Notamacropus eugenii: one gene and its partner. The protein of the gene in region 2 interacts with the protein of the main gene of each other region in a biochemical or structural test. Links are inferred from orthologs where the notes say so. Each region holds a gene or a part of one and is shown on either strand. Other genes may lie near its edges.

Region 1 (11,759 bases), on a different chromosome or scaffold from region 2:
AGGGAAGGGAAGGGAAGGGAAGGGAAGGGAAGGGAAGGGAAGGGAAGGGAGGGGAGGGGAGGGGAGGGAAAGGGAGAGGAGGGGAGGGAAGGGAAGGGGAGGGGAGGGGAGGGGAGGGAAGGAAATGAGAAAGGGAAAGCGAAAGAAAAGGTGTTTGGAAATCTTCAAACTCCCCTAATCATTGATTACCATATTCAAAGATGTTGGTGATGAATGTGTTACCAGCCAAGATAACACATCCAAGTGTGGTTACAAAATCAAGAAGTCCATTCCTAATGTCAACTTCAGGCTGTTCTTTGATTACTTAGCATTGTGTTGCAGTTTGCAGCCGTTATGCTTCATCACAAAAACAGCACATCTTTGCTTTAAAAAAGTCAACCTAGCTCAGATGACAGACTTAAGCTCCTGTTTCCCAGTCAACAGCTTTGATGTACCTCTTAAAGCTCTGCTCTGACATGTTCTCTATCCTATTTGTTCTAATTTCCTTTGTAATTGTTAGCATTTTCCCTCCTTCATCTCCCTCCAATTACTTTGCATTTACTTTGTACATATTTTATAGTTATTTATTTGCATACAAAGTGTTCCCCACCCCCAGTAAACCCCTAGGAGACAAGGCAAGGCCTGCTTTCATTTTTATCTTGATACCCCCAGCACCTAGCCCAGTGCCAGGCACATAGTATAGAACTGAACACCTCTAAACTCAGAGAATGTTCTTGGGTACACAGAAGTTTTCCCACACTTCAAGTTAAGCAGAGATGAAATCAAGGCAAGAACTTCAAAACTGGCAGACTCTAGAACCATAATGTTGGTAAAACTGTCTTCTGATATTAGGAATATGTGACATTAAGAGAACAAGATGTTTCTGGAAGATTCGTGTGTTATAACCAGTGCCATTACTGCTCACTGCCTTGTAAACATTTAATTTGGTCTAGAGCTCAAGTCATCTGTTTCCTGTTCTCCTAGTGAGAGGCTGACAGGACATGTGGTACTGTGTATACACAAACAATAAAAGTTCATTCGTCATGGTCATTTGTGAAGATTTGGGCTCATCTCATCCTGATACTGACTTAGCCCCTATATCCAGTCTGTTACCAAACCTCATCATTTTTATCTGCCCAGTTTCTTTCATGTTTCCTTCTCTCACCTAGTCGCCACTCTCCTTTACGTCCTCACCACCTCTTGCTGGAATTATTGCAAATAGCCTTCTAATTAGTCTCCCTGGCTAATGTCTCTCCCCATTCCAATCTAACCTCCACTTGACTCCCAAAGTGATTTTACTAAAGCACAGGTTTATCCATGTCACCCTCCTAAACAGCTGACTCCCTATCACTTATAAGAGCAAACATAACATCTTCTGCTTGTCATTTAAAAATCTTCACAGTCTGACCCCTTCCGACTTTTTCAGTCTTCTTAGATTACATTCCCCTTTCCACACGCTCTTTTGTTTGTCCTTCATTCTCGAACAGAAACATGACATCATGGACATGATGCCATAACATTCAAGTGAACTGTATGCAAGTGAGGGAGGGCTATGCAAAGACAGCAGCCTCACTTTCTCCTCTGGAGCCATCTGGGTCCAGTGACCAGATATACATCAGGACAACCAGAGATGGCCCCCTCCACACACTCTAGGATCCAGTTCCATTGGTCTTCTGGCGATTCCTCGCACACAACTCTCCAATTTCCATTTCCTTGATCTAGCATTGGCTCTCCCTCATGTCTGGAATTCTCTCCTTCCTTGTCTCCGCCTCTTATGATCCCTGGCTTCTGTCAAGACTCAGATCAAATCCCACCTTCCAGAGAAAGCCTTTACCAGTCCTCCCAACTTGTCAGAGCATTCTTCCCTAAGATTAACTCCTATCTACTCTCTGTATATCTTCTATGTACCTATTTATTTACATGGTGTATTTACAATTTACATTGTTCATTAGGGGAGCATGAGGAAGGGGCTGTCTTCGCCCTTCTTTGTATCCAATGTTTAGCACAATGCTAGATAAGTAGTAATAAGTAACATAGTAACAAGTAATAAAATTGCCTGTTAATTCATGTGAATCTCTAGAAAGTTATATTTATATATATATGACATCGAAATTCAATTCATTTACAAAAGTTGCCAATACAAATTGCCTTACACGATTATTATGAAACATGATTTTAAAGCATTTTAAAATATTTATATGAAAATAGTTAATAATAAAAGATATGGAAATGTGGAGAATCACAACATAATAAAATGGATGCATAATATAGCTGAAAAAACAGATTTTGCTTGTATTAGTTAACAATTTCAATCAAACTAGCAAGTATTTTGGTTCATAATAACTAACATTTATATAGTACTTACTATGTGCTGACCAAGGTACTGAGTGCTTTACTAATTTTATCTCTTTTGATCCTCACAACACCCCTGTATATTATTGTCCCTGCTTTACAGATGAGACAAAAGGAAGTTAAGTGACTTGCCCAGACTCACACAGTTAATAAGTGTCAACTATATGCAAGACCTCAAGAGTAAATTCCATTGGGATACAAAACTTTTAAGCAAGATATTATCTGTGTTTCCAAAGGGTTTACAATCTCATTTGGTAAACAACTGAAGACAGCATGAAAGGTATTTAACAATACCATCATTAAATAGCAGTTCAAGACAATTAGAAAAGAAGTTCCAAGGTAACACACAAATGGGAGAGGGACCAGATCCTTGATTTCAGTGACATATGGAATTCTGGGTTAGCACCTTCTCTGCAAATTAAGATTTTCCATGAGGTCAATGACTTGCCTGGAATAGCACAGCCAGTATAGGAAGAACTTAAAACTAGATCCATCCACCTGGCTCCAAAACCAGTTTTCTATCCACTGCACCAAGCTCTCTTTGATAAATGAACTAAACAAAATGAGAACTGTATAAGTTTAGAGAAATCAGAGTTACTTCAGTCTGGGGTAGTAATAGAAAACTATATAGAACAAGCCTGATATGGGCTAGATCTCAAGAAATAGGTAGGATTTTTATGGACCCTAGAAGACAGGGCATTCCATGAGCAAGAGTAGTAGAGGCAAGAGGCCTCACCTTAAGGAGAGGGCTGGGTACATAGTTTGGTTTATGGAGTAAGTGGTAGCTAAACCTGGAAAGTCAGGTTGGGATCATGCTAAAGTTTGGGGAGTCACTGAACATTTTCATGCAGAAGCAATCAATGATTAAAGTAGCATTTTAATAAGATCAGTCATGCTGCAAAGGTGCTCACTGGACAGGAGGGGAGGACTGGGGTCAGAGGGATTACTTAGGAAATTACTTCAGGGGTTAAGACATGACATAGGGGGCTTGACATGGAGTAACAACAGTGGGGATGTTAAGGAAAGCTGGATTCAAACACTGCAAAGGAAGACTCAAGTCTTTCAAAATGTACTATTGGATATTCCCTTTAGAACAATGTGTTTAGATGACAATCCAAATGATTACATGGGTGTGTTCCTCATAGAGATCATTTTAAAAACTACTTCTAGGAAGGGGAAAAAAACTATTTTAAATACGAAGTCATGACTTATGAAATAATTAAGAACAATCTAGGTGGGTATGTTGAACTTTCTCCTCTTGACCTGGTATACTTAAGGGAAAGAAGCCATATCAAAGCAATGCTAACAATCCACCTCAATCTCTCATAAGTAAATGAAGGAGTTAGAGGTAACCTAGTAAGGTTTCATTTTTAAAAGTATGCAAACCATATATTATATTAAAGGACCAAAATGGTTATTAATTGTTCCATTTTTTTTCTTTTTTGGTTTCTTAAAATCACTGCAACTTAGCAAATTCAACTGAGAAGTTCTAATATTTATCATCAGACAGAAACTCTATGTATTTTATTCTAAAGATCTATCAGCAATAATATAAGTAGCTTTTCGGTTTTGAATATTCATGTTGTTAACACATTTCTAAAACAGGGAATCAGAGTACCCTGTTATAAGAATTTCCTAAAACTTGGCAGGGGGAGGGGGTTTGTTACATTTAGAGTCTTATACAAGTCACATACTTCCATATATTTAGAGCATTCCTGCATATGATTATAGTCAATTTATTGACAACTAAGCCTTTAAACGCCCATACAACCAAATATTTTTTTATCTCTCACAGAAATATAATCAATAGTCTACTGTCCTTCTGCGATATTTAAGGCCAGTAGAATCTCTTCCTGTAACACTTGACAGTGATGGTGACTGATCGACAGCCTTCCTGTCCTCTCCCCATCACAGAGCAGCACCATTTCCAATCCTTTCCAGGGCCCTGATCTATTTTGAGACTCTCTCCAGATAAGGAGGAAGATGGGCATGTGCTTAAGCTTGACACAGGTTTGTAGTTACCTTAGGATGGTTACTCCATTGGTAGGAGGCAGGCTGGTAAATCTCAGGGCAGAGTTAAACAAATGCAGAATAAACAAATCACTCCCTGATGGTGTCCTCTTGTAGGTCAGGTTTGGGCCTGAAGCAATTTTTATGGCTGAATTCAAGAAATGCATAAGTTATATGTCTGAGAAGTGACCTTACAATATTTAACAGACATTGTTTATTGCATCTGCACTGCATGCTTGGAGAGCTAAGCACTCCAGTATGGTTGTAAAAACCAATTCCTCTGCTAGTGAAGAATTTGCCTGCCATCCAGGTGCCAGATTTCATTGCAGGAGTGCCGTTTCTTATTCTTATAATGTGGGCATACATGTGAACATACATATATGTTCATTATTCAGTATTTCTATTTATACATGGAATTAAAAGCCTGTATCAAGGCCATATAGCTGCAGATTCATGTTTTTCTTCCTTGCATTTGCAGATTTACTTTTATCTAGTCTTGTGCTGCTTTGGGTGCTGGTGATAATACCAAGATAATACCAACCCTGCCTTCAGAAGGGTTAACAACTGGCTAATTTGAAACATGTTCTTTTGGCAATTCAAAAGTCATCGCTATACTTCTTTAAATGCTTTGGGATTTTAATCCTCTTGAGTATTTACATATTTTCTCTTCTCATCCTTACAAAATTAATCCCAGAGTTTTAAGAATCTGGGAACTTGGGCAAGGGAGAAAACAACTGATCAAACTGAGAAATCAGAAGTCCCTGTTCATTACGTCAACCCAAACTGACAGCACTTTTTTCTGTTTGTTTTGAACCTCTTAGAATAATAAATCATGTGAGTAACAAAACAAAATACAGGTGTTATTACTGAGTGTGAAAGGTTTGAACTGTAATTAAACACGCTCTTTTTTGTAGGAAGTGTCATTTACTTTGTACGCTAACATTTGCGTTTCCTTAAACCTCTCTTTGTATTATCCACACACGGTTGCATCATACTTACACATTCATTAGCTGGGATTTGGATTTGGGTGTGTGTGTTTTTCCAATTAGTCTCCATCGTTAGATGCACAACCTTCGCTTCTTTTATGTAACTACCGCCTGGAGCAGCCCGAGCTTCTTAGAAGCCTAGCGCCCACAAAGCGCTCCTGACAGATGCGTGGTTATCCCCCCTGCGAAACCCGTAGCGCTGCTTGGGAGTTTCTCTCTAGCGGATAACACCCTTCTCTGATCCCCCTGAACCGACGGGTGTGAGGCTGCCCAGGCCCCTCTGACCAGGGGACACCGCCAGGTTTTCGGATCCGAGAATCAGACAAACAGCCCAACTCCTCCAGCCCGACTTTCCAAACCGCCCTTCTCTTTAACACCCTCAGTCTCCTCCCCTCCGAACCCAGCAAGCCCTTTGCAGTGGGACGGAGCACACGTTTCCTTCGCTAAGGATCCAGAGCCCCCGTCCCCCGTTCCCCCAGCGCAGGGCTGAGATCCGTGCTCATGCCGCCCCCCCTCACCAGGCTCCCCGGAGCCACTTAATTGCCCGTGGGAGGGCAGTAAGGCGGAGGAGGGGGGTGGGGGACAAAACGGGGGCGTGCCTTGGCCCCTGATTGGCCGCAGGACACTGACGCGAGGCCTCCGGGGCTGGGTTGGGGGGAGCTAACTGTGGGTTAGGGTGGGGTGCTGGGTGCAGGAGCTGCCAGACCGGAGCGCTCAGAAACATGCTGAAGTGTTGGCAGCGACAGCAGCTACAGCCGCAGCCTGCGAGAGGAGGGAGGCAGCAGCCGGCGCCGAGGTCCGGGGCTCCGCGCTGCTGCACGCAGCTGGCCTGACCTGGCCCCGGCCCCGGCCCCGGCCCTGACCTCTCTCGCCGTCCCCTCCCACCTCTAGGCTCTCCGGGCTCCGTCCCCACCCCGAGACTTCAGCTCCTGCCTCCTCACCATGGGAGATGGTGCGCTCGGCTTAGGCTACGAGCCCTACAACCTGTCGTCTCCTTCGCCGGCCCCCGACGGGGCGGGCGGGGAGGCCGCGGCAGCCACGGCCGCCCGGCTGCTGGTGCCCGCCTCCCCGGCCGCCTCTCTGCTGACCTCGACGACGCCGGCGCCCGCGGCCCTATCCCAGCAGTGGACGGCGGGCATGGGCATGCTCATGGCCCTGATCGTGCTGCTCATTGTGGCGGGCAACGTCCTGGTGATCGTGGCCATCGCCAAGACGCAGCGTCTGCAGACGCTCACCAACCTCTTCATCATCTCCCTGGCCAGCGCCGACCTGGTCATGGGGCTGCTCGTGGTGCCCTTCGGGGCCACCATCGTGGTGTGGGGCCGCTGGGAGTACGGCTCCTTCTTCTGCGAGTTCTGGACGTCGGTGGACGTCCTGTGTGTCACCGCCAGCATCGAGACGCTGTGTGTCATCGCCCTGGACCGCTACATCGCCATCACGTCCCCGTTCCGCTACCAGAGCCTGCTGACCCGGCCGCGGGCGCGGGCGCTCGTGTGCACCGTGTGGGCCATCTCGGCGCTCGTGTCCTTCCTGCCCATCCTCATGCACTGGTGGCGGGCGGACGGCGACGAGGCGCGGCTCTGCTACAACGACCCCAAGTGCTGCGACTTTGTCACCAACCGCGCGTACGCCATCGCCTCCTCCGTGGTCTCCTTCTACGTGCCGCTGTCCATCATGGCCTTCGTCTACCTGCGCGTCTTCCGCGAGGCGCAGAAGCAGGTGAAGAAGATCGACCGCTGCGAGCGGCGCTTCTACGGCGGCCCCCGCCCGCCGCCCTCGCCCTCGCCGCCGCCGGCGCCCCGCCAGCCGGGCCCGTCGCGCGCGCCGCTGGCCAACGGGCGCCCCGGCAAGCGGCGGCCGTCGCGCCTCGTGGCCCTCAAGGAGCAGAAGGCGCTCAAGACGCTGGGCATCATCATGGGCGTGTTCACCCTCTGCTGGCTGCCCTTCTTCCTCGCCAACGTGGTGAAGGTCTTCCACCGGGACTTGGTGCCCAACTGGCTCTTCGTCTTCTTCAACTGGCTGGGCTACGCCAACTCGGCCTTCAACCCCATCATCTACTGCCGCAGCCCGGACTTCCGCAAGGCCTTCAAGCGGCTCCTGTGCTGCCCGCGCCGGGCCGAGCGGCGGCTCCACGCCAGCGCCGGGGAGCTGTCGCGCGGGGGCTCCGGGGCCGCCACGACCGGGGGCTGCGGCAGCTCGGCCGCGGGCTGCGGCAGCCCGTCCCCCGCGGCCGCCGACGCGGAGCAGGGGGAGCTGCTTCCCTCGGCGCCTCACTACCTGGAGCCCTGGGCCGGCTGCAACGGCGGGGCGACCGGGGACAGCGACTCCAGCCTGGAGGACAGGGACGGCAAAGATTCGTATTCGGAATCCAAGGTATAGGACCGGCCGCTGGGCAGGGGCAGGGGGCGGTGGGGCGGAGGAGGGGGCCGGGCTTGTGTTTTCTTTTTACTTTCTGGCGGGGGCTACAGGGCAGGTGGTTTCGCGGTGGGGGGCCGTCGGGGAGGAATGGGGGAGTGGGGCTTCCCCCCCCGCCCCTTCCCCACACCCCCACCCAGGAAACTGGTTTGGAAGTTCAAGAGGAAGAGAGCCAACAGCCCTGAACTGTCTTCACAGGGAAGGGAGGATCTGTGTTTACTCAAGACCGAAAGCAGGTGATAGCGTATCCTTCATACCTCTTCTGAATCATCCGCGACAAACAAAAGCAACTGGACCGTTGAAAAGAAGGAAAGTTGGGGACGGGGGGAGTTGGGATTTTTGGACTTTTCTTCCTGACTTCTGGGGGGAAGATGCCTGTTTTACCTTTTCCACTCTAATTCTGATCCTTCAGGCAAGGATTGAGAAAGTGTTAACTGGTTAGATAAGTGGGATGGAGAAAAGAAGATGGGATTCAGAAAAAAAAAAAGAAAAAGAAAAACCATCCACTTGGTTTCTCCAAGAGCTGCACTTAATAATCCTGCTTTGGAAGACTATCACCTGTTCCCATCCAATTCCCGGGAACTGGACCAGTCAAAGTAAGAGAAAAGGAATCTGGAAAGTTTGATGGGACAGGGTTTTTCTCGGTTCCACGAAAGATTTTTGTCATTATTGTTTCAAAGTCTGAATGGTGACATCTTTAAAGAAAGCAAAGTGGAAAGGTTGCAAAAATCACGTTCACCTTTTACGAGTTTTATTTAGAACAAACAACCTGGCTTTCCTGTTTCGTCTTGGCAATGGTGATGAGGCAGAGGGATTCCTACCTCAAACTGTGCATATTGCACAGGGATTTTTTTTTAAAGATATGTTTATATTAAACAGATTATTTATGTATCAATATTAGTTAAAGGACCAGGCGCCAGCCTCTGTGACACGTGACTCTCACAATTTGGAGAGAGGAAACAGTCTTAGGGTCGAGAAAAATTACTGCACATTTGGAAAAAGAAAATAAAAAGAATGGTTCAAAATGCTTTTTTGCACAGTGTTAGAAATTGTAAAGTCCACTGAAGATATTACTTGCACACACATACACACACACAAAAAAAAAACCATTTAATGAGGGGAGGAGAGGGAGTTGAAAATAATCTGAAATCCAAACTCTACTTTTTTGTCTGTTATATTACTGAGTTGATGTTTTATTGAAAAAAATGACTTTTTATACTATTTTATCATGGTACTGTAACTGTATCCATACTAAAAATTTAAATATAAGGATTTTTTTTATTATTTTTGTACGTCCAAGTGCTCACGTGAATCTGCTGTTAATTTAGCACTTGTGTGTCCTTTCAATTTCCTCCTGTGTATTTTATAAAGTATTTATACTCTGGTGCAACTAACTACTGTGTAAGTAAATGGTCTATGTGCAATAAATACAAATGCAGCACAATCAAGATATGTACAGTGTATCTGTAGGAGTTTGGAAACAATTTTCAGCTGTAATGAAAAGACTAGCATTTGTTTTGCTTGCAGTAAGGATTGGATTTCCAACGCAACTATTCCTAATAGCCTTTCCTGATGTAAAAGCCTGGCAAAATGTGGTCTAGACCAAATAAAACTATATTCCTACTGAGAACTTCTAATTTTCCTCCAAAATTCATAGATGGATTCAAAGGCATCTCCTAACCATTTCTAGTATAGCAAGCTCCCATATGCTGGACTGGCCTTTTTCTTAAGAGGAAACATTTTGGATTATGTAAAGAAATGTAATTTTACCTTCGAAATACAATCTTCAGAATGACAGGTAAAACAACTGCTACTTTGCACAAAAGAATAATACATGGATTGCATAATTTGTTACCTGCTTTGAATGAAATCAGTAATTTCTTGGGTTTCCAATATGTAGCCGACAAAGTTCAGTGTACAGTATGTATATTTCTCTAATGGCTATTTTGAATGTAAAATGCTTCCGTGGTCAAATGATTATTTATAAAAATATTTTCCTTTCAAGTGGCTTTTTCCCGTTTATTTATCTAATCAATCTTTGTAGCATCATTTCAGATGGATAGATAAAATTTATTTGACAGATAATATAAGGTTTCCCTGCACCAAGATTTTTGGGATACCCTATATGGCATTTATGGGATTATTTAGTAGCTTTGTAACATGCAAAAGTATCCAGAATATTTTTGTAGTTTGTTTCTAGAGAAAGCATTGTGAAATTCCTCCCAGTGAAGGACTGTCCTCCAAAGTAAGATTCCTACTTTTGTACTGAGTTTTTTCTTTTAAAATTTTATGATAAGCAAGCCAAAGTTCCACCTATCAACGTTTGGTATATGCTAAGTGTTAACACTCATATGTCGCTTTGTCTGTTATGATAAGTCAGGATAGACTACTGTTCTTTTGGTGGGATGTTTAAGGAACCTGTACTCACACTGAATTAAGATAAATATTAACATTTTAGTGAACAGTAATAGGTCGCATGGGCTTCCACAGTTACACAGAAGCTGTTACAAGTTTAAACGTCTCCACCAATACTGAGACTTTAAAGTAAATACAGTTCTTTAAAGAAAAAAAATAAGGTGAGACAGCTTAAAACAGTTCTATTCCCTCCCTTATCTGCTGTTAGTCTAGAATACTAAAGACCATGTAACGTTTTGCCTCGTAGTCCTTGTGGCAACAAACAAATGCTTTGCTTTCCTGATCCACTCAGTTTAACCTTCCCATGAAGTAAGAAATTTCCCTGAATGAAAACGGTATAAATAGGCCCTTAATATCTAGAGACTTGGAGATCTTAGGAAATTTCCTGGATTTTTACAACAAATAAGCAAAAAGTAGTTAATTCATGAGCATTACTTGTTCCTTAATAAAACTTAGTAACTCTTTCCCAAAGAAAATACTATCCTTTTTAGCTAATTTTATACTCATTCGGGACCAAAAAGATTCTGTGTTCAACAGGTTTCTCTTGGTTTTTACGAGTAGATGATTATGCCTACTCAGGGCTCTGGTAATGATTCCAAATATCCATGAAAACTATTCTTTAGGTCTTTTTTCTCTCCTCTATGTCTCTTCCTCTTTATCTCCCTCTTTCTGCATCTTTATGGGTCTCTCTCTTTCTGTCTCTGTATCTCTCCGTGTCTGTCTGTCTCTTTCTCTTGAAGAAAAACAGACACAGATTGACAATGAAAGACAGATTACCAAACATGTTTACTCTGTTAAGATACTGCATAATGGAGTGAAAGGAAGAAAGAATATGACAGAGTAGAAAGGCATAACAAATACGCAGGAAGTCCTCATGTTAAGTGTGTTTGTGTATAGCAGGCACATTTGCTTTTCTGATGTGCTATAAATACAAAATTTAATGATCAAAAAGGAGGATGATGTGCCCAGTGACATGCTATGCTACATTTGTAAGTGATATTTAAGTATAGCTCTGCAAGATTCCGTGCAATGTGATGATTACAACCTTTAGAAATATAATGATGTTCCCAACAGTATAAAAACTATGGATTTAACGGTGTATGTGAGTACAGAAAATTCTGTTTTAACCTTTGGTGAACTTAACTTCTTTTATTAGCAGTACTTTACATGAGTGTTGGGGAAAAAAAAAGTTTGCAAGTAAGTTTTGGTCCACACCTTTGAAATTGAAATTTTATTAATAACTATTAAGTGGCTATTGTGAAGGCCCTTCCTTGGTAAGCACACTTTCCTAACTTATTTTAATTTCCTATTTTTGTTGAATGTGTTGACTTCCTCCCCGTAGTATGTCAAATTACAGTGGCGGAAGTTCTGCATCCAAAGTGTAAGCACAGTCTTAGAACCCAAATTTGAACAAGAACCATGAAGTAAGGGTTCAAATGAAGATCATCTACAGTCACCATGGTCAGTTTCCAGCAGCACTTTTGATCAAAGTTGGGCCTCCTGAATAAGAAAGCCTTGAAAAGCAGTAAATTCCAATTAACCATACTGGCTCAGAATAATGTAGTTTTAGTTGATAGGATAATGTGCTGAGAAATACTAATT
Region 2 (12,194 bases):
GATGTTCTTACTGATCTCTCTCTCTCTCTCTCTCTCTCTCTCTCTCTCTCTCTCTCTCTCTCTCTCTCTCTCTCTCTCTCTCTCTTTCCTCCTCCTCCTCCTCCTCCTCCTCCTCCTCCCTTCAAATGACTTCCTCTTAGCTAAACCAAATGTCTTTTTTTTTCCAGTACCCTCCTTACTTGTATTCACCATGGCAGTGCCCCACTACTGAGCATGCTCTCCTTCCTTCCATGAGGTAAGACACACTCTTAATTCTCCTCTTCCTCACCCTGATCATTGTTCACAAGGACTGTGATGATTGAAAGTTTGTGGTGAATGATTCACTGGCAGAGGAGGGAGGGAGTTAATTCCAGAAACAAAAGGATGGTGAAAGTACTAGTTTTGTATAAAGTAGCTACCCATTACTGAAACATTCAGCATGAGGAGGGACAAATCTAAAGCCTCTACTGAGTACTTCATTCTGCTTATAGATATTATCTTTAACTATAGGATTAATTCTTCACTTAGAGAAAAAGTTTTAATTCATCTTCAAGATCAAAAAAAATCAACTATATCTTTGAATTTGACTATAACTTTAAATATGTAAATCATTTTGCATTTTCCCACTAGGAATATTATTAACCCTCAACTCTAGCTCAAAATTTGAGAAGTCTTCTAAGCTTAAAAAACTTTGCAATGCTACCATATCTTAATGACTGACATAATTGGAAAAGGATTATCAACTTTTTAGTCTGCTATTTTTAAATGAGTTTTTGAAAGCCATTGTTTAAAGCAGAAAGAATCCAAGATGAGATCTGTGGTACATTTTTGCTCCTTGAGAATTTGCATGTTTGAGTTTCAAGTCACTGAAAGGAAGATGTGCTTATACTGCATGTGCTGAAAGATCTCACATTGTAAATGTTATGAGTAGTGACTAGTACTTACATACTTCTGACTGTGATTTCATTCTAAGACTAATCTCCCTCTTTTTTTAAAAAAGGCAAATAGTTGATTAGTCCTTTCAAGATTGTGTTCCTTTAATTACTTATGTACAGGGAAAATGTACACAAATGTCATGAATAAATCATGCCAAAATAAAAGTAATATGCTCATTAACTTTGTTTCAGGATGGTAAAGATATTTTATAATCAAAGAAAGTGCCAAGTTACCAAAATATTTAATTTTGATGCACATCTCCTATTCCCATCCCCTACTTCAAAGTATCATGAGGAAAAAGTCATCTTTATTATGAGAGAGTATGTGTCTTGTTTCACCAAAAAGAAGGAATATATAAATAACTCTTTCTATAAAGGAGATCAAAATTAGACTGTTAGTAATTATGTTTCATTTTATTTCTTGGAGTCTTCAAATGAGTAATGGGTAGAATATTCCCTTTCTCTGGAACTAAGGGGGTTAGGTGAAGCTACTTCTCCTTTTTTCCCTTTTCTCCTATTTTCCATTTGTAAGTACTTCAAAAGAAAACCATGGTACATGACTATTTGTGTCACCAGGTGGTACTGGTAGCCACAGTCCAAAAAATGTAGTACAGAAGTATTCCTTGTGACTGTGTTATGAACTATAGTGTGTATGTCTATGTATCTGTGTGAGAATTCACACACACACACACACACACATACACACACACACACACACACACCATTGAATCTTATTCAAGGAATTTTCTATGAATACAATTCCTCAATAAAATGAATGAAAGTAAAAACAGTTACTTAAGAGCAAATCACTTGGGTAATGAAAATTAATTATTTTAAAAGCACAAAAGGAATAATTTACAAAAATTGGATTTGGGACAATTATATATTCCACATTTGTATTCTATGTCTGAATTGGAAATATGCCAACTTAAATTAAAAAGTGGATTTTTATGAAGTTGGCTAAATAATAATTTTAGAAATGTATGCTTTTAAGCCACATAGCAAAATGACTATCGATAGCAATATCTTAAAATTGCAATACATCCAGGGATAGCCAATGCACAACTAGATAAGAGTGAAAATTCATCAATTTTTTGAATGAATTGAAATGAAAATATTTTTCAATATATGTATTCATGTATGAACATATCATTTTGTAGTATGTAGCAAGTCATCTGGTATCTGGAAGACATACATTCAGATTCCACCTCTGATATACACTCTCTTTATAATCTTGGGAAAGTCACCTAGAACCTCTCACTGCTGGCCCCTAAGCAACTCATGAATACTAAAACTTGCACTGGAAATTTCCTTACTTGGAATGCCTTGCACTAATTAAATCAGAGATTCTGATGGAAACTAATATTCTCCTTTATTGATTAAGTAAACTCTTCTTACTCTATTCAATTTTTTTTGAAAATTATAATCATTTGAAAGTAGAGCATATTTCAAACTTCAGTTGTTATCTAAGAGTCATACTACAAAGAGAAGGTACACATTTTATTCTCAAGTTGCCAGTTCTCTCTGTGTCAAAGTACTTTCTTTGAAAAAGCAAAGAATAATGTATAAAACTATGCAAGAGTTCACAGATTTAGAGACAGAAGAGACCTCAGAGGGAATCCAGTTCAACTCTATCAATTAACAAATTGAGGAAACTGAGGCCCAGAGATGTGCAGTGGCTTGACCAGGGTTAAGTTTGCTCCCATTGTGGAATAATAAAGATCCATAAGCTTTTCTATTATCTGACAGGATTGAACAAAGAAGAATCTTGGTTAAAGCATAGACATTTTTATGAACTTTCAAAGAATCATAATAATATTATCATGATATACAACACTAAGCCACTAAGACTGAATATCATTTTATTCATGATGATTCAAAAGCCTCATCAGGCTATACAAGTGCCTTAAGTATGATACCTTGCAATTAATTATTACTCTACTAGTGAAACTCAGCAATGCTAGTTAACCAGTAATCTTCAAGAAAATGCTCATTCAACAAAATTTTCTCTATATTAACTTGTTGCTTCTATATATAAACATATATACATACATATATGACTATATACATACATATATGACTGTATATGTGTGTATATACATATATTTGATTAACATATTAAAAGCAATATCTCTTCACATTAAAAGTGATGAAGGGGTTGAAATCTTAGAAGCTATGGTTGCTGGATCTACACAGAACACAGACAAAAAAGAAAAAAATTCAAATCCTCATAGCTGAGCCCCGGGTATGCAGTTTTGGAAAGCATAAAATACTGCATTTGTATCCAACTCTGCATATAGATTCAATTCTCAGTAGGGTTGTAATTAAGTTTGTGAAGATTTTTTTTTCTATTTTTGAAAAATTCTCTTTTTAAAGCTGTCATAGAATCAGAGATCTAAAGTTTGAAGTTTCCTCAGGAGCTATCTATTCCTCAATCCTCATTTTGCAGTACAGGAAATTGAAGCACAAAGTTTAAATGACTTGCCAGGGTCACAAAGGTATTAAGCATGACATGGGATTTGAACATAGGTCTTCTGATTCTGGAGTCTGTTTTCTTTCCAGTCTATTACACTAATTGAATCCCATCCTCCCTTTCCTGCGTTAAGTTTTCCTTTTCAAGGCATTTTTTTTTTACTTGTTTATTTATACATCTAATCCTTTTGAGGACCAAAATATCTTGAATAGAGTTTTGTGGTGCCAGTCAATTGCACTTGTGAGGACAATCTCACAATCATATATGTATAAGTGGGGGTGTCTGTACATATCTCTATAAACAAAAGTAGCATCTTTAATTTATTAACAATGTAAGAATATAATATACCTCTCAAAAAATTTGCACAATCATATATATATATATATATATTCACTCCCCTATACACATGAAATGTGCAAAATTTGCCTATGAATACACATGCACACACATGTGGAAAGAATAGTCTCTATGTGAGTCTCCTTGAAGTTATTCCCTCTGCCAAACTTTTATCTCATTCCTTCCTCCTTGGGGAATCTCATTTTCCTTCAAACAGAAACAGCCAGTAAGATTACTAGAGTTCAGCTAGCACTCTCTCTCTCCTCCTCCCCCACCCCATTCCTCCTATGTTCACATCAGGGGCAAGCCCAAAGGATAAAAGCCTCCCAGAAGCTCAAAGTTGAAGGAGCCTGGGAGGTAACCAGCTGGCATTTCCATCCACTTCTCCCTAGAAACACACCCACCAATAACCCCTGCCAGGGGAAAGCCCAGCCTACTGAGGCAACTCCTCCATAACAGTTCCATTCAATGAGGAAAAAACCACTAAGCGCAGTACATTTTGATTAGATTTCCCCAGTACCAGTACCAGCTCTCTACTGCACCAGCACCCTGCGTATGTGCCCTAGTCTCATCCCTAGAAGTCAAGGTTGTTTAAATACTGCCCTGGGTTACTTGGTGCTGCACATGACGCTATCTATCCACATGACAAGACTGAAGGGGGGAGGGGGGACAGAAAAGAGGGAAAGGGGAAAAAAAAGTTACTGAGTAGCTGTCAAAGAGCCCAAAGACATCTGTTCTTTTCCTTCCTAACCGGCAACCGACTTCGGCGTCTCCAGTCCGGGTCACTGGAATATCCGCATCTCCCCAATTATCACATCTCCCTTCTCCCCAGCAAGTGTTTATTCCTCTCTGCCCCGCTGGCGGTGCCTCTGCTCCCTAAGTTCTTCCTTCCTTCCACTCTCTTTTCCCCAGATCTTAGTTCCACGCCAAGGGATGCCACTGACGCACATTCAATTTTCCCCTCACCTTCAAGACCAAGTTCATTCCACTGAAAAAAACAAAGTTGCATACCATGCCACATCCTCATCTGTACCCTAGCCTCCTCAGTCCTTAAACTACCCCAAGTGGGGCAATCTTCAAATCTTCCTTGCTTTGGCATGACTCTCTGTATCTTCCCACCCCACCGTCACACAACACACCCCCTTTTGCACACACGCACGCCCCTCCACCCTCTAGCCCCAGGGACGGAGTCTCGCTGTCCGTCACACAAATAAGAAAGCTGTGCTTACCTTGCTTGACACACTTGAGTCGGATAGGGTCCTTGCAGTGCTTGATCACTGCCAGCACATCCCTGATGGTAAGCCCCGCCACCGGGGTCTCATTCACCTCCAGCAGCAGCTCCTCCGGTACCAACTTGCTGCCGCTCTCATAGGCCACCTTGCCGGGCTTCACCTCCCCCAGGTAGGGGAACTGTCCATTCTCGGCTCCCCCCTTCAGTTCAAAGCCCAACTGGCCCTCCTGATTCCTGCCAATGACACTCTCGTGGACTTTGCTAGTCCAGTGGCTTTTCTTTTTCAAGCTTTTAGACATGGCAGTAGGGTGGTCTGCCCTGCTCCGCTCCGGTATGTAGGGCTGTCCGGGAGGTGAGAGGACGAGGAGAGAGTAGATGGGGTAAGAAGGGTAAGACTTCGCTTTCCCTCCTCTCGGCCCCACTCCCTGCTTGCTTCCCCCCTCCCCTTTTGGGGGGAAGTGTGGAATGGGAAGTGGGAAGCGGAGGGGATGACGGCTGAGGCTGGGATAAGAGAGCTTGGGGTGGTGTTTGGCGGCCGCTTGAATGACACTCAAGGCTGTGGCCCCGGCAGAGAGCAGAGCAGCGGTGGTGGCAGCAGCAGCCGGAGCAGTAGCTGCGCTGGGGAGGGAGGGAGGGAGGGAGGGGGTGGGGGTGGGGAAAGGGAAAGGGAAAGGGGGGAGGGTTGAGATACTAGGGGTCACTCGCTGCGTGTGTGTGTGTGTGTGTGTGTGTGTGTGTGTGTGTGCGCGTGTGTTTAGCTGATATCCATGGCAGCTGCTGTGAGCGTACTAGTTGTAACTGGCAGCAAGGAAGAGGGGAGGTAGGATGGAGGAGGAGGAGGAGGAGGGGAAGGAGGGTTTGTTGGATGGGGAGTAGGGGAGGGGTTCTGGGCTGCTGCTGGAGCTCCCTCCCCTCCTCAGCTTGACCCGGTAGTGAAGGCTTGGAGAAAGGCAGGCTGGGTCCGCCTGGCAGCCTACCGGAGAAGGCGGGTAGCAAGCCGAGGCAAAGGGAGAAAGAAGCGCGGCTGGCCGAGGGGAGGGGAGAGTGGACAGGAAGGACCAGAGGAGGAGAAGGGGGCCCTAGCAGCCTCCGGGCCGGCTGTCCTCCGCCGCTTGTCCCAGCTCCGCAGTGCTTATTGCCTGCTGCCCCAGGCTCCAGATGAAGAAGGAGGGAGAAAGCATCCCAGAGCATCTGCAGCCTGGGCAGGGCAAGTCCTCTGGCGTGAGATTTCTGTGGGGAAAATGCGTCCGGACTTGGTGGGGAGGGAGGTGCGCGCGGGGTGGGGGTGGGGGGGTTGGGGTGTTGACGAGAGGGAAGGCCAGAGAGAAGGGAAGGAAAGGGGGGGCAGTCAGAGAGCAGTACAGACAAGTGGCGGGAATGCCAATTCAGTATGTAGAGGAGTTGCTTATCTATCTCCTACCACGTCCCCAGAGCCAGAGACTTTAGAATTCTTTCTAGGAGGGGGGAAAAAGTTGGAGACCTCTGGGATAGTGACTGTAGCTGGTGGGAGAGGGTTAAAGCAGCTTGGAGTCCTAGTTTGCCAGCTCCGCCCCCTCCACTTTCCCCTCTGTCTGAAGTGAACCATGGTAGGTGGACTAGGGGAACAGAAGTCCCCCAAATCAGGAAGTAGGCAGGGGGATTCCACACCCCCAGCACCAAGGGCTGCCCTTATCCAGGCTTCCCACTTCTTTGGAGAAAAAAAAGCAAGAGATTGGGGGAAAGACGGGGAAGGGGGTTGTTGAAGCCATTTAAGGAGAGAGCTTAGCTATTTTAACCTGTTCATTGCTGCTGCATTTAACTAGGAGCTCAGGTTTAAAGTACGGAAAGGAAGAGAGACTTGTTCTCTAAGAGCTAAAAAGTGACTCACTGCCGAGAAAGGCTTAGATGGGAATGGAAGAATAAGGATTATTCTAGGGGATGCTACTTTCACTTTAAAACCTAAAATTTTAGTTTCTGGGAGATCGTGGTTTGTTGTTGTTTCTTTAATATAGAGCAGAAAAATTTTAATGGAATTTTTTAAACATTAGTAATACGTGCACTATTTGCAAGAGATGGAGAACCATCCAATCTGGGTTATATTTTGAAAAGGTGGGAAGAAAAAACAAACTCCTTTGGGATTGCCCAGAAGCCAGGAACAGTGTTGCAGCAAAGTCCTACGTTATCTAAAGAAGTTATGAATTTATGAAAGGAACATTCATTTTAATAATTCAATTCAGAAAACTTATGAAGCACTAATTATGGGGGAGAACTTTGTATAGTACACTTTGGAAATACAATATTTGTATCAGGTAGACTCCCAGCTCTCATGGAGGTTATATTTTAGTGGAGGGATGTGATACAAACACATGTAACTGTAACACAATGTGTTGCATTATAAGTATTCTAAGGAGTTATAAAAGCAAATTGTGATATAAAGCCCAACAAGAAAAATAGTTACCAGCAGCATATCAGGGAAAACTTCAAGGTAAGTATAGCATTTGAGCTGTGGTTTAAATAATAACTAGAAATTCAGAAGTCAAATGACTGAGATTAATGATGAGAAAAAAAATGTCCTGAGATGAGAGGCCATAAGGTACATTCAGGGAACAAAGAATAGAAGGGGTTGATAGTAATATGATCTAAGCTAGAAAAATCTGTTGGCATGAATTTATAGAGAACCTCAAACAGTAGGCAGGGGAATTAGAATATTGTTTGGGAGGTATTCACTGAAGATTTTTGAGCAGAGGAGTGATATGATGAGATGAATACATAAGAAATCTAATACAAAGAGCAGTGTGTAAAATGGATTGAAGGGAAGGAGAGTAGAAGAGGAAATACTTGTCAAGAGCCTAGATTAGTAGTCTAGACCAGCGGTGGGGAACCTGTCTCCTCGATGCCATATTTGACCCTCTAGGTTCTCAAGTGTGATCCTTTGACTGAAGCCAAACCTCACAGAAAAAAAAAATCGGATTCAGTCAAAAGGCCACACTTGAGGACCTAGAGGTCACAGGTTTCCCACCCCTGTTCTAGGCAGATAGTAATGAGGGACTGCTCTAGGTGAAGGCAACAAACAGATGTGAGCAATATTGCAAAGCTGAGATTCACTGATCATGGAAACTCAATGGAAATAAGAAATTAGGAAGATTCAAATATAAGCCTGAGGTTATGAACCTCAGAAATAGGATAAATGGTCATTTCACAGAATGACATACTTAACTCTTGACTATTGTCAGAAGTCTCAAATCTTCCTCTCTCTAAAGCTTTAATATATAGGATACCTCTCTCTTACTTTTCTTCACTAAGCTGAATCTCATTCACTCATCCTCAAAGCAGGACATCTGGAGCCTGGAGGAAGCTTTGGTTTGTAATGATTTTGAGATGGACTTTTTCCTCACCCCAGAGTTTCAGAGCCCAACTTAAGAAAGTCAAAGTTTTTTTGTACTTTAAATGACTATAAAATTAAAGTTTAAGCCACATGAAATGCAGGAGAGAGAAAATGAGAGAAACACACAGAGACAGAGAACAAGACAGAGAGAGAACAGAGACAGAGAGACCCCTGCCTCTAGGAGACTCTATTTTTCTTTTCAGGGTGCTAAATTGACTTATTTCCTAATAAAGGAAAAATCAGGGGATATTCCCTTCTTTTCTCCACTTCTAAATGCAACCACACTGATCCTGGAGAAGAAGCTTATACTTTTGATTGACCTTCTCTGGTTTGTGGCTGTCTTTGGTCAGTGGTGTAGATTTCTACCACCTTCCCCATCTTTCTACTTCAATTTTCATACTGCTCTGTCTGAGAGTGGTAGGAGAAGCAGAGTAGATCAAGAAGTAAAAGCTACATTGTAATTCCTGTAAGTTTTTGGTTATTTTCCTTTTGAAGACCAAAGCCAAGAATAAAAGCTACAAAAAGGCAAACTATAATGAGCTCTTAGTTTGCGGTGCCAATAGGACACTCAGGCAGACATGTCCACAGGCAGCCTGATGTGTAGTTATAGATCTTAGAGGAGAAAGAAATCTACACTTGGGAGTCATTAGCATGGACAAGGTGCTTGTAGGAATGTAGTGTACTTTCCTTTGGAAATGAAGAATTGTGCAACCACTAAAGCCAGGAATAAGATCAGGAACGAGTGAAGGAGAAAAATGGAAAGTGGAAAACCAAGAGTGTGTCTTGCTCATGAATTAAAGGAGGGGAGAGCATTTACTAGTGGGGCATCACGATGCTAAAACCAGTAGAAATAAAGGAAGTACTCAAAAAAGGCTATTTGAGCAGTTTCCATTAATGACTGTGGACAAAGCCCTTGATTACAAGATTTAGAGAATAAGTGTGAGGAAATAGAGGACTTGTATACTCGCAAATATTTTTCAGAAAGTTTACCACTGATGAGAAAAAAAAAAAACATGGGATAGTTAGTACCTGATTGAAATAGAAGAATCAAGGAAAAATTTGGTTTTGTTCTTGCTTGTTTGTTTTTGGAATGAGGAACATCTAAGAATGTAGGTGGATGAAATCAATCATTAGACACTAGATAAACAGTAGAGAAGGTCTTGGATAAAGGAGGAAAGAGTCATAAAGTTGAATGGACCTGGGGAAGAGCAGGGTTGAAAGTTGAGGACAAAGTCCTGTGGGCTTAAGAAAGAGAGACTGGATAGCTGGAATTGGCGAGGTCATATAATACAGGTAGATTGCAGTGTCATTCTTCAAGGTCAGAACTTAATCACAAGAATCTTAGAGGCTCATCTTGTCCTAGAATTTGAAGTGGAATTTGTAAAGTTGATGTTTTGTACTTTGCCTCTTCAGAGGTTTCTAACCAGATGTGTTATATATTGCTGTCTCCCTAATTCTAGAAACAGATCTTCTGTGTGATAGAGAGCTGATCATATGGCATAAATTCTCAGAGTTTCTGAGAACACATAGGGAGGTTAGTCCAAACATAATGTTGATAGAAAAGGGTATCCAATATGAATACTTACTTTGAGAGACAGCTAGATGGCATGGTGGATAGTGTTAAACTTGGAGGTAGAAAGAGCAGAGTTCCGGTTCTTGCTGGTTCACTTACTTGGTTTAGAAAAAGTCACTTGAGCTCTATCTGACTCGGTTACTTTATCTGAAAAAAGAGAATTACAATAATAATACTTACCCTAGAGTTAGGATGAGGAAAAATGAGGTAATATTTGTGAAATAGTTTTTAAAATCTCAAAGTGCTCTATAAATTCTAATTGTTGTTATTACCTTGAAAAGAGCACATTAGGAGAGAGACAGAGACACAGAGAGTTAAAGCACACATAGATTGTGTTCCTTCTCTGACACTTGCTGATTGTATGCCCATAGGTAAGTCACTTAAACTCTGAGCCCCAGTATCTTCAACTACAAAATGGTAATCATTAAATGGAGGTCCCACTTGAAGCTTAATAGAGGTAAGAGACATAAATTGTTTAGCAAACTTGAAATTGCTATTTAAATGCCAGTTATTCTTAGCAAAGGGAAAGACAGCGTATTAAAGATTTTTTTTTTTTTGGCTCATGTGAAATGATCTTTAAGGAAACTAAAACAAAGTTATACTTCAAAATCAAAGGCAGTATATCATCTGCCTTTGAATTAAGAACTGGATTAAAATTCCACCTGTGACATATACTGCCTGCGTGGTCTTAGAAAAGTCATTTAACTTTGCAGTGCCCCAGCCAATGCTCTAAGGCCTTAATTGGATAAAAAAAAAAATGCTTTGTAGAGAGAGTTTGCTAACCAATAGTTCCATATTCTGGTAAAATCTCAGATCTAGACTGAAAGAGGGAATTTTATGATCCTGTCAAAGGATCACTGATTTAGAATTGGAAGAAATCTTCTAGGTTATTTAATCCAACCCCCTCATTTTACAGGTGAGGTAACTGAGGTCTGGAAAAGGTAAGTAACCTGCCCAAGGTCACACAGACACAGATAGAAGCAGAATTGAAACTATTTTATCTGACTCCAGCTCTGTTGCTCTTTACATTATATTACACTGCCACATTTGTGTCCTTTTAATATATTTTGTTATTCTCTGGAAATCAGTAACCTGAGTATAATCCATTTCTCCCTGATAAAATGTCTCAGACTTTTCTGGATAATTGTTAATGAGGGGCTAATATTTTGTGTTTTTTTTGTTTGTTTTCAGTTGACTGCAAGAGAAAGCAGATCGTTAAGTAATGGATGTGAGCAGCATCTGAAACCACATTCTGACCATTATTTGAGTATACAACAGTCAATACAACTTTCCATTTGCCTTCTTTCTTGACTTCTGATCCCTGTAAATGGATTCCATCGCTAAGCACATCATGTACAAAGGACACTGTTATAAATACTGTGGGCATTAGCAAATGAAGTTAAAGGAGCTTACAAAGTAATAAAGAAGGCAAGAACAGTATGTATTGGATATGTGCCAATAGCTAACGTCCATGATAAATATTGTTAAATGCTTAAAAATGACCTCAGATACAAAAGACCAAACAACCCTGAGACATTACCTTGATTGCTTCTCAAATGCTTGCTGATGTGTTAAGAGCTCCTGTGAAGAAAACCCCAGTTAATTGGAGTATCAGTACAGGTGCAAGTGATCTGCCAGTTGATTTATTGTTAATCACCATTAGTAGCAAATGTATGTGAACATCTGTGTGTATGCTGATGTATACCCATCCATAGAAACACACAAATGAAAGACAACAGAAACAGAGATTCTCCTTATTCAATTGTTATATAATCAGCCACTTGACAACCATTTATTAGCTGTCTACCATGTGTCTGGCATTGTGTTACATACTCCATACACAAAGATAAAAGCACATAGCCCCTGCCCTCAATGAGCTTATATTACATCTGGATATAAATGTTGCAAACATATGAGCAGTAGGCAGTACTGGACAGGATCTAGGCCTAATTGCAAAAAGGCACGAATTGAGATCCAGGCTTTACTATTAATAAGTTATGTGACCTTCAGCATGTTATTTCAGATACCTGGTTCTCAGTTTCATCATATGTAAAATAATAGAGCTGAACTAGATAATTTCAGATCTAAAATTCAGTGATTCTGTGATAGCCAGAAGATAATAGCTTTACTCAATCTGGAAAAGCTATGAGGAAAATGAATCTCCAACATAATTTTGAAGACCAGAAGAAACAAAGATTGGATGCTGTGTCAGTGGTCACTCTTCAATCAATCAGAATGGTCCTACAAAGTGAAGGTACTGAAGTTCTTAAGGGATGCTACTGAAAGACTATTTATATCTAAAA

Evidence for each region.
Region 1: the proteins of MAGI2 (region 2) and ADRB1 interact in a test that uses a peptide from one of them, tested with the Homo sapiens proteins (4 studies listed by IntAct, with this or other methods). The link is inferred for Notamacropus eugenii from reciprocal best matches to the Homo sapiens genes MAGI2 and ADRB1.

What each region holds. Positions count from the first base shown.
Region 1 is NC_092872.1:192,516,999-192,528,757, forward strand, and holds ADRB1 (beta-1 adrenergic receptor), read left to right. Parts: upstream 1-6,173; 5' UTR 6,174-6,269; coding exon 6,270-7,700; intron 7,701-7,940; coding exon 7,941-7,982; 3' UTR 7,983-8,757; downstream 8,758-11,759. UniProt on the Homo sapiens protein: Beta-adrenergic receptors mediate the catecholamine-induced activation of adenylate cyclase through the action of G proteins. This receptor binds epinephrine and norepinephrine with approximately equal affinity.
Region 2 is NC_092874.1:155,950,297-155,962,490, forward strand, and holds the start of MAGI2 (membrane-associated guanylate kinase, WW and PDZ domain-containing protein 2), read right to left. Parts: upstream 5,832-12,194; 5' UTR 5,254-5,831; coding exon 4,953-5,253; intron 1-4,952. UniProt on the Homo sapiens protein: Seems to act as a scaffold molecule at synaptic junctions by assembling neurotransmitter receptors and cell adhesion proteins. Plays a role in nerve growth factor (NGF)-induced recruitment of RAPGEF2 to late endosomes and neurite outgrowth.